Ovis aries: one gene and its partner. The protein of the gene in region 2 purifies or fractionates together with the protein of the main gene of each other region. This does not show direct contact. Links are inferred from orthologs where the notes say so. Each region holds a gene or a part of one and is shown on either strand. Other genes may lie near its edges.

Evidence for each region. The genes of interacting proteins can lie anywhere in the genome.
Region 1: the proteins of SAAL1 (region 2) and SLC27A2 purify together in Homo sapiens (co-immunoprecipitation; 3 studies listed by BioGRID and IntAct, with this or other methods). This does not show direct contact. The link is inferred for Ovis aries from reciprocal best matches to the Homo sapiens genes SAAL1 and SLC27A2.

What each region holds. Positions count from the first base shown.
Region 1 is NC_056060.1:58,219,840-58,225,966, forward strand, and holds the start of SLC27A2 (long-chain fatty acid transport protein 2), read right to left. Parts: upstream 3,365-6,127; 5' UTR 3,182-3,364; coding exon 2,704-3,181; intron 1-2,703. UniProt on the Homo sapiens protein: Mediates the import of long-chain fatty acids (LCFA) into the cell by facilitating their transport across cell membranes, playing an important role in hepatic fatty acid uptake.
Region 2 is NC_056068.1:34,149,747-34,155,836, forward strand, and holds the start of SAAL1 (protein SAAL1), read left to right. Parts: upstream 1-2,211; 5' UTR 2,212-2,252; coding exon 2,253-2,384; intron 2,385-3,710; coding exon 3,711-3,824; intron 3,825-6,090. UniProt on the Homo sapiens protein: Plays a role in promoting the proliferation of synovial fibroblasts in response to pro-inflammatory stimuli.

The sequences.
Region 1 (6,127 bases), on a different chromosome or scaffold from region 2:
ATGGCATAATAGAATATAAAAAAACATCCTAGAAGTGAGACAAAAATAATTAGGTTCTGTCTCCAGCTCTCTCTGACCCTGGGCAATTGATATCACTCCTCTGGGCCTTCGTTCATTCAACTTTAAACAAACAACTATTAAACAAAGTGGGAATTACCAGACTCAAAGCCTATTCCTTAGATGATCTGCTTCCAAATCATCTAGGAGTGGGATGGGGCTAGCTATAAAAATATACTTTCCTGCCTCCCCCACAGTCCTGCTGAATCAATGTTTTTTGGGGATGAGGCTCAGGAAATTGTTTTTTAAAATGAGCTCCCCAGGTGATTCTTCCACTCATTAAAGTGACTCTTCTAAACTTTTTACTGCAGTATAACACACTTGTTAAGAGTTATATAAACAACACACTTGTTATATAACACACTTGTTAATCTTAGGATATCTCTAAAATTCTTTCCAACTTTAAAGAATTTGAAGAATCAGTCCATTCAACACATTTGCACATGGGCACATTTACTAATCAGCATGCAACTTTGGACTCTGTTACCCCCATGACAGTAACTGTTTTGGATCAGAGTGCAATTCTGCATGTGGTGTAATGGTCTCTCAGTGATTTGGAAAAACAGAATGGTTTTCAAATGTGTGGCCTCTCTCAAAGGTCAGTTTACTGTCAGAGTGCTGTAGGTCCCCTGGAAAGTCATTCAAATTTGATCTGAATGTTGGAATTTCATTACACTATCTATGTATGCTGACCACATAATACTCAGTGACAGAAGACTGTTGCCTGGGCATAAAGGGAGATATCTGGTTGTATTTCTGATTTGATTACAGAACCAAACTCCAGTGTAGTCATTTAAATCGAAGCTTCTTTGTCAACAAAACTCCCAGGCCTGGACTCCCTCACTAGGGGACCTGGGATAATATGCAGGTAAAATTACTTAAATGACTCCTGAAGTGGTACCCAGATCACTGTGTTAATAACTTTCCTCTGAATCAACTGGTAAATAGGTTTAAGAGAGTCTTCCAGTTACTAAATAGTGAAGTTGTCTCTCTTCCCAGGCAACTAGAAATTGTTGGGAATTTTCTTCAAAAGGCTATCCCTTTCAAATAATATGTGTGTGTGTGTGTGTGTGTGTGCACACACACACACGTGCTCAGGCACTCAGTTGTGTTCAACTCCTTGTGACCCCATAGACTGTAGCCCACCAGGCTCCTCTGTCCATGGGGTTCTCTAGACAAGAATACTGGAGTGGGTAGCCATGCTCTTCTCCAGGGTATCTTCCCGACTCAGGAGTTGAACCTGAATCTCTTGCCTCTCCAGCATTGGCAGGCGGATTCTTTACCACTATGTCACGTGGAAAGACCTCAGATTATGCCTTTAAAATTACCTCTTTGCTTTTCAGCTTTTATACAAAGCCTTCATTTCTTTTTGGATTATTTATTTTATGTCTGATGGAACAGGTGTGTAGTTTCCTGGCTTCCCAAAATGAATAGACATGTTGACTTACTGTAACTAGGCAAACTCCTTAGCATACTTCAGAGTCCTCAACTATGAAATGAAGGCGGAGAAAAGATGGATGCTTAGTCTGTTCCAGCTCTAACACTTTTCATTTGTGAAGAGAAAGGTAGCATGGTATAAGGAGAGTGATGAGCTCTGAAACTAGACAGACCTAGCCTGGAATTTTAAGCCTCAGTTTCTTCAGCTGTGTGACAGGGGGTAACGATACATTAATTCTCAGGGTAATAAAAGCATCTAGTATAGAGCTTGGCACAGAAAGAAAGACATTCCAGAAAGGTGAGACTTCCTGGCTCCCTATTTCTCCACATCTTTTAGCCCACACCTGTTTAGGCCTCCTCTTACTGAGAGAGTGAAAAGCAATCCTGGTCCTTATTCAAGTGTAGGGACAAGCTTCCTGGGATAGGAAACCCAGTCAGTCCTTTGGGTAACAGATTCTTGGATTCTTCCTGACCTGGTCACCACTGGAGCATGAAGTTACCATTTTAAGTCTTGTTGAAAAGTTGCAGAAGGCAACTACAGAACCAAAGGTCACTGTCGCTATAAACGTAATGAGTGCTCACTAGGGCTTGCAGCAGGGGATCAAAGTCTTCTTGGGGATCAGGTGGATTCTCTCTTTCTGCAGTGAGAATCCAGGGAGGCTAACAGAATTTGAGAGCTGGAAGCAGCCTTGAAGACCATTACAGAGGAGGAAACCAAGATATGGAGAGGGAAAGTGACTTTCCCAGGATTATACAGTCAATCAAGGAGCAGAGGGAGCAGTCTCTCTGGATCCTCTGGACTTCACACTCTAGACCCTCTGCATTTTAATGCAGATATTGTCAGCACCAGCTAGGAACTTGAATTCTGGAGGTAGACAGATCTAGTTAATCTCCTCCTCCCAATTCTGTGATCTGGGACATAAAGCTTCACCTCTCTGGCCTGACTGGTCTCATCTACAAAGTCAACCCTATCTGTTGTAAGTATTACCAGCAACACTATATGTACGGTGATTCACATAGTATCTGGCTTGATCAGCTTCTACAACGGAAGGTTCTAATGACCATTAATTAGCGTTTGGAGGAAGAGTTGCCATCCCCTCTCTCTACATCTCTAGTTGCGATCTGAACCCTCGTTCCCCGCAACCCCTATGCCAGGCTGCCAAGAAGAGAAGGAGCTCAGTGCCAGGGTGAGGTGGTCCCCAGGCTCACCTGGTGAGACCAGTAGAACCTTCGCCCCAGAGCACTGAAAGCAGTGCAACAGGGACTTTCCGCGGATGTTGTAGTTGAGGCACGCCATGGCGCAGCCCAGCTTGATCAGTCCCAGCCACAGGCATATGTAAGCTGGTTCATTGCCCATGAAAATTGCCACGCAGTCTCCCTGCCGCAGGCCGAGGTGGTCGCGCAGCGCCCGAGCCACTTGGTTGCTGCGTCGGTCCACCTGCGCGTAGGTGAGCGTCTCGTCGCGGAAGAGCACGAAAGGCTTGTGTGGAGTCTGCTGCACTTTCTCCAGAAAGGCGTAGAGAATGGTGCGCACCGGCCGGCGCTTTCCATTGCTGCGCGCCCGCTGGGCCACGCCGGCTACCCGCAGGAAGTAGCGCAAGTCCTGGAAGAAGTAAGGGCAGCAGAGGTTCACCAGCAGCGGGAGCATCAACAACCCCGCCAGAACCGCGTAGGCGACTGGCAGCATGACGGCGGCGGAGCCCCCTACCCCCTCCAGGGCGGTGGGCGCACTTCGGGCGTGCAGGGCGGCGGCGGCGGCGGAATGGACTTCCTCCGGGCTGCGGGCGGTGCGGGTTTGCACAGCGAGGAGGGGGCGACAGTGGAGCTTTTGGGCCGCCCGCGCACCGCTGCGGGATCTCTGGCAGAAGGAGCCGGGGTGCTGGCTGTTGGGTGTGACAGGCCGGCTGAGCCTGCCCCGTCGTGAGGGTGCAGCTGCGCGTATGCCCCGCCCCGGCGGTCCTCCGCTGGCTGGGAGGGCGGCTCCGCGGCTCCCTGAGGCCTCGGCCACCTCCCCGCGCGAGCGTGGCGGCCTGGGGGCAAAGCTGGGCTCCCCGACGGTGTGACCTTACAAAAATGGTGACAGTAAGACGCCTTAGAAGACGCTGAGAAGATTAGAGGGGATAATACAGGCGGAGCGCTAGTGCACCTTTTAGAGATGACTGATGGTTATTACCAATAACGTGTCTTATAAATACGAGAACAATCCTATGATTTCCTAGTAGCGGGTAGCAGGTGCCACTGCCAAATCAGAATCCCATCTCTCCTACCTGGTCTCCGGGGCTTTCCGCCTGGTCTCTTTCTGTTTCTCACATTTGCTTTCTGCCACGCGCCCCCCCCCCCCCCCCCGCCCCCTGCAACCTCAGCCCCACCCCCACCCCCGGCGGACCCCGCCAAACCCCGAGCTAATTGCCAGGCAGGCTCTAGTGATGAAGAATTCAGGGGTGAACAATAGCGCCTTCAAGATTGCCGCCTCCAGCTCATCCCAGCCTGGGGGGCAGTGCGTGAGGCCCGGGCGTTCTAATCCGAGACGTCCTGCAGGCCCCAGCTAGCTCAGATTAGGCTGGAAGTGGTGCCACACTTTGCCACATGAAATCAAGCTTCGGGGAAGTTTTGATTTGTTATGATACGTTGTTCTTTAAGTGCCCCCCCCCCCCCCACCGTATATTGAAAATTCTCAAGTATTGTCAGTCCGATTCAGTTCGGTTTACTAAGTGGTTCCGTGAGAAACAGGCACAACGCAGAGAAAAGGAAGCAAACGTCGGCATTTTTCAGAAGCCATCTCTTTGAGTGTCATCCTTTCTTTTCACTTCCTCAAGTGCTGCTTCTGTACTGAGTGAACCCTGGCTCCTTGCTATAGAGGAGGGTCAGAATTTAAGTAAAGCAGCATTTTCCTCTCTTCCTTGCTTGTCTTCCTGCTGTTCATTCATTATATTCTATGCGACAACCAGGAGAAATGAATGCTCACTCCTCTCTGCTAGGGGCTTCCTTATATGATATTTTTGGAGCCTCATGGTCAACTAAAGGTGGAATTTTCAAGCTCATTTATAGACAGGAAAGGGACACTTAGAGAGGTGAAGTAAGACAGCTGGTAAGTGATGCTTCAGATTTGGGAATTGGTATATCTGTTTGGTCCTGGGCCCATTGCTTTATTAAGAGCAATGTGTTATGCTGTTCTCTTATTCTCTGGGTTTCTTCTTTCTTTAGCAGTTTTCTCCCCCCACCTCCTATCACAAACTCCCCTTCCCTCATTTCTTTTTAATCCTCCTTTTTAAATCCCTGAACCTGCTGCAACAACCCTTTCTCTTTTCCATGGCTAAACCAGCTACTGTCTAATGACTGGTTGCATCATTTCCCTTGGGAGTAAGAGAGGGAAGGATCCTGTGGACTTGGTTATCCCTGAGGGGAAGGTTGTAGTGTTAAAGTAGAAGCCAGGACAGAAACCATTCAGGTGTGCACCTCTTCTTTTCATGTTAAAGCTAGATCCAGCCCTCCTTTTCCAGCCCAGTGCCACCTGGTCCCTTCATGACCAGTCACTTCAGCATAGCCTCCTTGACCGACCTCTCTTGTCTTGTCCTTAAACAGTCACTCCTTCTTCAGAGTGCTTGATTGCCCCAAATGCCCACTTTCTCCTCTCTTACTCTGAGGATCACTTTAGCCTTGTGCATCCATAGTTTTTCAGTGGCAAATGAAAGAGAACAAGACCCAAACTGGCTTCAGCAGACATGGGAATTTAAAACTCAGGGTCCAGGGCAGGGCTTCAGGTAAGCCTTCCTCTGTGGCTTAAAAGTACTGAGATCTGGACCAAGTTTCCCTTTCTCCATTTCTCTGCTCCATCAACTCCTTTCTCAGACAAGCTCTTCCCTCATGGTGCAAAGATGGCTGCCAACCCCTTAGAGTGACCTGTTTCCTGAGCCGACTTCAAACAGAAATGTAAGAAACTTTTCCTTAAAAGTCCTCATTAGAAAGACAGAAAGAAAAGAAGGAAAGAGAAAGAAGAAAGAAAGCTCTTCCTGGGATATGTGTCTGTCTTTGTGGGATGGGGGAAGAGAAGTGCTGATTGATTTAAGCCAGTCAGGGCTCATTCATGGAGCTGAGGGTAAAGTCAATTCCATGTACACCATACTATGGAAAAATCAGAGTCTTGTTAAAAAGGAAGTGGGGAGAAGAAATAAATTTGGAGAGATATTTAATGTTTGTTATATATATCTTGGAACTCTCTTTACCAATGATTCTAGCTTCCAGCTTGGGCTGTGCTGAGTGCTCTCCCACCAGCCTGATGGTCTTCGTGGAAATGCTATCATGAATTGCCTCTCTAATGCTCAGTTATCTTCAGTGGCTGCCTCATTGCCTCCCACCCACTTTCACTCATGGTGTCTATAGACAACTGTCATGTTTGTATAGCATACCAGAACACATCTAGGCTAGAGGTGGCTAGACTCCCTGGGTCCTGCCTGGCTCCCATGTGGAGGGAGAAGATTGGTAGCTTAGCACATTGGTTACACATTCTAGAAACATCTGCGGTGGCAGCTCTGGTTTATAAAATGAAGTTCACACTTTATTTTCTGGCTCTTCTGATTCTGACTTGAACTTTCGCTGCACTCAGTTAACAAATCTGTGTTGAGTTTCTATTATG
Region 2 (6,090 bases):
GAAAAAATGTGGATAATTATTTGAGCCTAAGACCCACATGTATTTTATATAATAATGCAGAGTATTTTTGCTCACTTTTAATATATTTAAAAATTTTCCATTACTGCAATTGCTATGTAAATTGGAACTTTATTTTGTTAGAAATTTTACCATCATCTATTCATGATTTTGAGAAGCAGGGTCCCTCAGGAACCACACCTAAGTCATTCTCCATTTGTAAATATGAGGCTCACAGTAATCTGATATGTATGTGCCAAAATTGGAGATCTTTCCTGCCGTGTTACGATTCATGGGGTTGCAAAGAGTCGGACACGACTGAGAGACTGAACTGAAATGAACTGAACTGAGTATATTGATATCTTCTAGTACTCTTGTGCCTGAGCAGTTAAAACATTAAAATACATACTATTATTTAACTTATATGCAGAGTACATCATGAGAAACGCTGGACTGGAAGAAACACAAGCTGGAATCAAGATTGCTGGGAGAAATATCAATAACCTCAGATGTGTAGATGACACCACCCTTATGGCAGAAAGTGAAGAGGAACTAAAAAGCCTCTTGATGAAAGTGAAAGAGGAGAGTGAAAAAGCTGGCTTAAAGCTCAACATTCAGAAAACTAAGATCATGGCATCTTGTCCCATCACTTCATGGGAAATAGATGGGGAAACAGTGGAAACAGTGTCAGACTTAATTTTTTGGGGCTCCAAAATCACTGCAGATGGTGACTGCAGCCATGAAATTAAAAGATGCTTACTCCTTGGAAGGAAAGCTATGACCAACCTAGATAGCATATTGAAAAGCAGAGACATTACTTTGCCGACTAAGGTCCATCTAGTCAAGGCTATGGTTTTTCCTTTGGTCATGTATGGATGTGAGAGTTGGACTGTGAAGAAGGCTAAGTGCCGAAGAATTGATGCTTTTGAACTGTGGTGTTGGAGAAGACTCTTGAGAGTCTCTTGGACTGCAAGGAGATCCAACCAGTCCATTCTGAAGGAGATCACCCCTGGGTGTTCCTTGGAAGGAATGATGCTAAAGCTGAAACTCCAGTACTTTGGCCACCTCATGTGAAGAGTTGACTCATTGGAAAAGACTCTGATGCTGGGAGGGATTGGGGGCAGAAGGAGAAGGGGACGACAGAGGATGAGATGGCTGGATGGCATCAATGACTCGATGGACGTGAGTCTGAGTGAACTCCGGGAGTTGGTTATGGACAGGGAGGCCTGGCGTGCTGCGATTCATGGGGTCACAAAGAGTCAGACACGACTGAGTGACGGAACTGAACTGATTTTATTTTAAATTAATTTTATTTTTCATTTCTGTAAGGGAAGCATATTGCGTGTGTGTGTGTGTTAGTCACTCAGTCGTGTCTGACTCTCTGTGACCCCATGGACTGCAGCCTGCCAGGCTTCTCCGTCCGTGGAATTCTCCAGGTGAGAATACTGGAGTGGGTTGCCATTTCCTTCTCTAAGGAATCATATTGGTATTATTGACATTACCTTTTGAGGTAGGTTATATCATCTGTAAATTTCATTTCCTTAAAGGGGTGTTCTAAAATATTTGCTGTGGGGTGTGGAGGAGCATGGGGTCTGAGGTTTAGTACCATCAGACTAAATAGTAGCAGGAACTGAAAATACATCACCGACTCAATGGCATCACCGATTCAATGGACTTGAGTCTGGGTAAACTCCGGGAGTTGGTCATGGACAAGGAGGCCTGGTGTGCTGCAGTCCATGGGGTCGCAAAGAGTCGGACACGACTGACCGACTGAACTGAACTGAGTTGTAATACTGACATTCTTACTGGTGACTTTCGTCTTTCCCAGGATTCCGAACACACCTGGGAGAAGAGCGATGTTTTTAAGAATGGCAACTGTGCCCAAAGGGCAGAGGTCCGAATAGTTTCACGTCTGTAGCGGATACATCTTCCTGTTCCCTGTCCCCGCACCCTGGCCATTCCAATCAGGCTAAGAGCTCCTGGAGAGATGGAATATGTGGTCCAGGGAGGGTGACAAATAACAATTATGAATATAACCGCGCGGGGGTCCTGGATAGAGAGCTGGGGTAAGACCAAGACATTTGGGCTCCCCATCCCAGTCAGCAAATGCATTCGGCGGGTATTCAGGCCGGCAGGGCTCCGGGCAGCAGAGGGCGCTGTGGCGGGAGCTGCGCTAGGCCCTCTGGCGCCTGGCGGTCTCTCGCCTCCTCCCGCGGCTTCCGGAGGGGCTCCCGCGCGCCAGAGGCGGCCGAGACATGGACCGCAACCCGTCGCCACCGCCGCCGAGTCGGGACGAGGACGAGGAGGCTGCGGCCGGGGGGGACTGCATAGGCAGCACGGTCTACAGCAAGCACTGGCTCTTCGGCGTCCTCAGCGGGCTCATCCAGGTGCGGAAACGCGCCTCGAGTGGGCTCCCCCTACTCTCCCCAGGCTGCCGCCCCGCCTCGGGCAGCCCCCCTCCTGCCCCGGGAGCCGCCGTCCCTTCGACGACCCCTCCCCAGGCCCGGCGGCCGGGCCTTACCCCTGGCCTCCAGGCTGTCTACCCGCGGACCCCAAAACTGCCGGGCGCCACTCTTTGTGCCCCTCAGTACAAACGGAAGTGTAACGGTAGGGATGCTGGAATGCTTTTGGTTAGAATGTTTTATTTTTACAAAATTTCCAAATATACGTGACCGTGTAAATGCATTGCTTACATGCAGTGCATGTGATGCGGTGGGTTTTTGCGCCCCTTTGCCGCTGTAGTTTCTGAAGCCCAGGTCGTAATTTATCTGTTTCGAGGACTTTCACTGAGGTAGAATAAATGGGCTTCCTGCAGCTCTAATGTCAAAAGCGCGGTTTGCCCTCCGTGACTTTGGGCAAGTCACGTAACCGACTTCTTTCCTAGTTTCTATAAAGTGGGGTAGTATTTGTATTATTGTTTATAGAGTTAAATAAGATTATGATAGCCAGAGAATGCTTACCGTAGTTTGCCTTATAGGAACCTCTCAATAAATGTGAACGTTCTTCTCATGTTTCCCTAACTTTTCCCTCTGCTTTCAATCACTGTCCTCCGTAGTCCATCTTCTGCACAGCTACCCGAATCATCTAAAAAAAAAAAGTCGTCCATGGGAGTTCTCATAGTTACTGTTGCCTACAGTGGAAAACTCCTATTTCTTAGACGGAAATCCAGGGCTCTTTGCAGCTTTTCCAGATTTATCTGCCCATGGCATGCTAAACTGCTCACCATTCCCCACACATGCTAGGCCTTTTCTTAACTCTGAACTCTTTGTACTTTTCTCTGTCTCCTCTTCTTCAGGATGACAAACTGATTTCCCCTCAGATTTAGCTTCAATATCCCCTCCTAAGAGAAGTTTGGGAAAGCTCCCAGACATAGGTCATGGATCCATCTTTTTTTCACGACTCTGTCCACAATCCAGTGGAATCACTTACCTTTTCTGTTGTGATTATCAGTTTATATGTCTTTTCCCCACTGGATCCTTAACTACTTGGAAGTAAGTAAGTAAATCTTATTTACCTTTATATTTCTACCCCAGTGCCTAGCAGCAGTATTTCCCCAAGGTGCCCCAGGTACTAGTTTTTTAAAATAAGCTTCTTGGAGAAGAAGGTACTTTGAGGATACTAACCTTTGTGACTTCTAAACGATTATGGGATAATATTACTGGAGGAGTGCTGTGGACAGCCTTTATTCATCTCCTTACTTTGTGTTTCTGAAGATGGTTAGCCCTGAAAATGCCAAATCCAGCTCGGATGACGAGGAGCAGCAGATGGAGCTTGATGAAGAAATGGAGAATGAAATTTGCAGAGTATGGGATATGTCCATGGATGAGGTATGGGACTGGAAATGAAGCTGAAAAGACTGTTGAGTAAGGAGATGGTGAATGCTTCAGTCCTTAAGTCTCTGGATTTTATCATGTTTTCACTAAATCTGTTGAGTTGGTCATGTGGTTTTTCTTTTTGATTTGTGAATATGAACTACATTGATTGATTTTCAAGTTACTAAAATGTAGTTTAGAAATTTCATGTATATTCATGAGAGAGATTCATTTCTTTTCATTGTCTGGTTTGGTACCAAGGTAACGCTGTCTTCACAGAATGAGATGGTAAGTTTTCCCTCTTCGCATTTCGGGAAGAGTTTGTGTACAGTTACTATCAATGCTTCCTTAAATATTTGGTGAAATTCACCAGTGAAGCCATCTGATATTGGGGTTTTCTTTGTGGGAAGATTTTGTTTGTTTTTAGTTTTGTGTATATATATATATATGTTACTTTTTAAAAAAATGAGTTTTATTGAGATACAAATCATTACCATAAAACTCACCATTTAGTGGTTGTTAGTATGTTCGGAGAAGGCACTCCAGTACTCTTGCCTGGAAAATCCCATGGATGGAGGACCCTGGTAGGCTGCAGTCCATGGGGTCGCTAAGAGTCCTACACGACTGAGCGACTTCACTTTCACTTTTCACTTATGCATTGGAGAAGGAAATGGCAACCCACTCCAGTGTTCTTGCCTGGAGAATTCCAGGGACGAGGGAGCCTGGTAGGCTGCCGTCTCTGGGGTCGTACAGAGTCGGACACGGCTGAAGTGACTTAGCAGCAACAGCAGCAGTATGTTCGGAGAAGGCAGTGGCACCCCACTCCAGTACTCTTGCCTGGAAAATCCCATGGATGGAGGAGCCTGGTAGGCTGCAGTCAATGGGGTCTCAAAGAGTCCGACACGACTGAGCGACTTCACTTTCACTTTTCACTTTTATGCATTGGAGAAGGAAATGGCAACCCACTCCAGTGTTCTTGCCTGGAGAATCCCAGGGATGGGGGAGGCTGGTGGGCTACCGTCTCTAGGGTCGCACAGAGTTGGACACGACTGAAGCGACTTGGCAGTATGTTGTGGGGAAGACTGTAAATTCAGTTTCTTTAATAGATACAGGGCTGCTCTGGTTACTTTGATAGTTTGTGTTCTTCAGGAAGTTAATCCACTTCATCCAAGTTATTGAATTTATTGGCATAGTAGGAGAAGGCAATGGCACCCCACTCCAGTACTCTTGCCTGGAAAGTCCCATGGATGGAGGAGCCTGGTAGGCTGCAGTCCATGGGGTCGCTAAAAGTCGGACACGACTGAGCGACTTCACTTTCACTTTTCACTGTCATGCATCGGAGAAGGAAATGGCAACTCACTCCAGTGTTCTTGCCTGGAGAATCCCAGGGACAGTGGAGCCTGGTGGGCTGCCGTCTGTGGGGTTGCACAGAGTCGGACACGACTGAAGCGACTTAGCAGCAGCAGCAGCAGCAGCAGTAGTCTGTTATTATCCTTCTAATATATGTAGTGATGGGTCCTTAATCTTCACAGATTTTTCTTTGTTGCTTTACTATTTTCTGCTTCATTGATTTCCACTCTGATCTTTTATTATTTCATTTCTTCTGCTTACTCTGGTTTAATGTGCTCTTCTTTGTATAATTTCTTAAGGTAGAAGCTGAGGTTGTTGATTTGAAATCATTCTTTTTTAATATAGGCATTTAACACTATAAATATTCCTCTAAATATTGCTTTAGAACTGTTGTACAGCTTCTGATATGTTGATATGTTTCATTGCATTTAGTTCAATTGATATTTTCTAATTTTCCTTAATTTTTTTTGGTTAATGAGTTAGCAGTACATTGTTTAAGTTTCAGATATTTGGGGATTTTTCAGCTATCTTTCTATTACTGTGGTTAGTGAACACTCTGACTTCTGTTAAATGTATTGAGACTTGTTTTATGGCCCAGTATTTGATCTGTCTTGGTAAGTGTTCTGTGTTCTCTTAAAAAGAATGTGTATACTCCTGTTGCTGGGTGGTGTCCTGTAAATGTCAGTTTGATCAGGTCGGTTGAGAGTATTGTTCAAGTCTTCTCTGTTTGTCCTCCAATTGTTAAGAAGCTATGGTGTGAAAACATTTTTTTAAAGAAATAAAACTCATTTTTCAAATGAAATGTTAGTGTGAAAACCTCAAATATAAAAAGGTGAAATAGAGCCGCTGTTTGAGATCATGGGTGGAGGGAAGGTCATGCTCTTGGTCTTCTCTTTGTCCCTTGTGGTGGTTCTTGAAGCGCCTCTGGAGA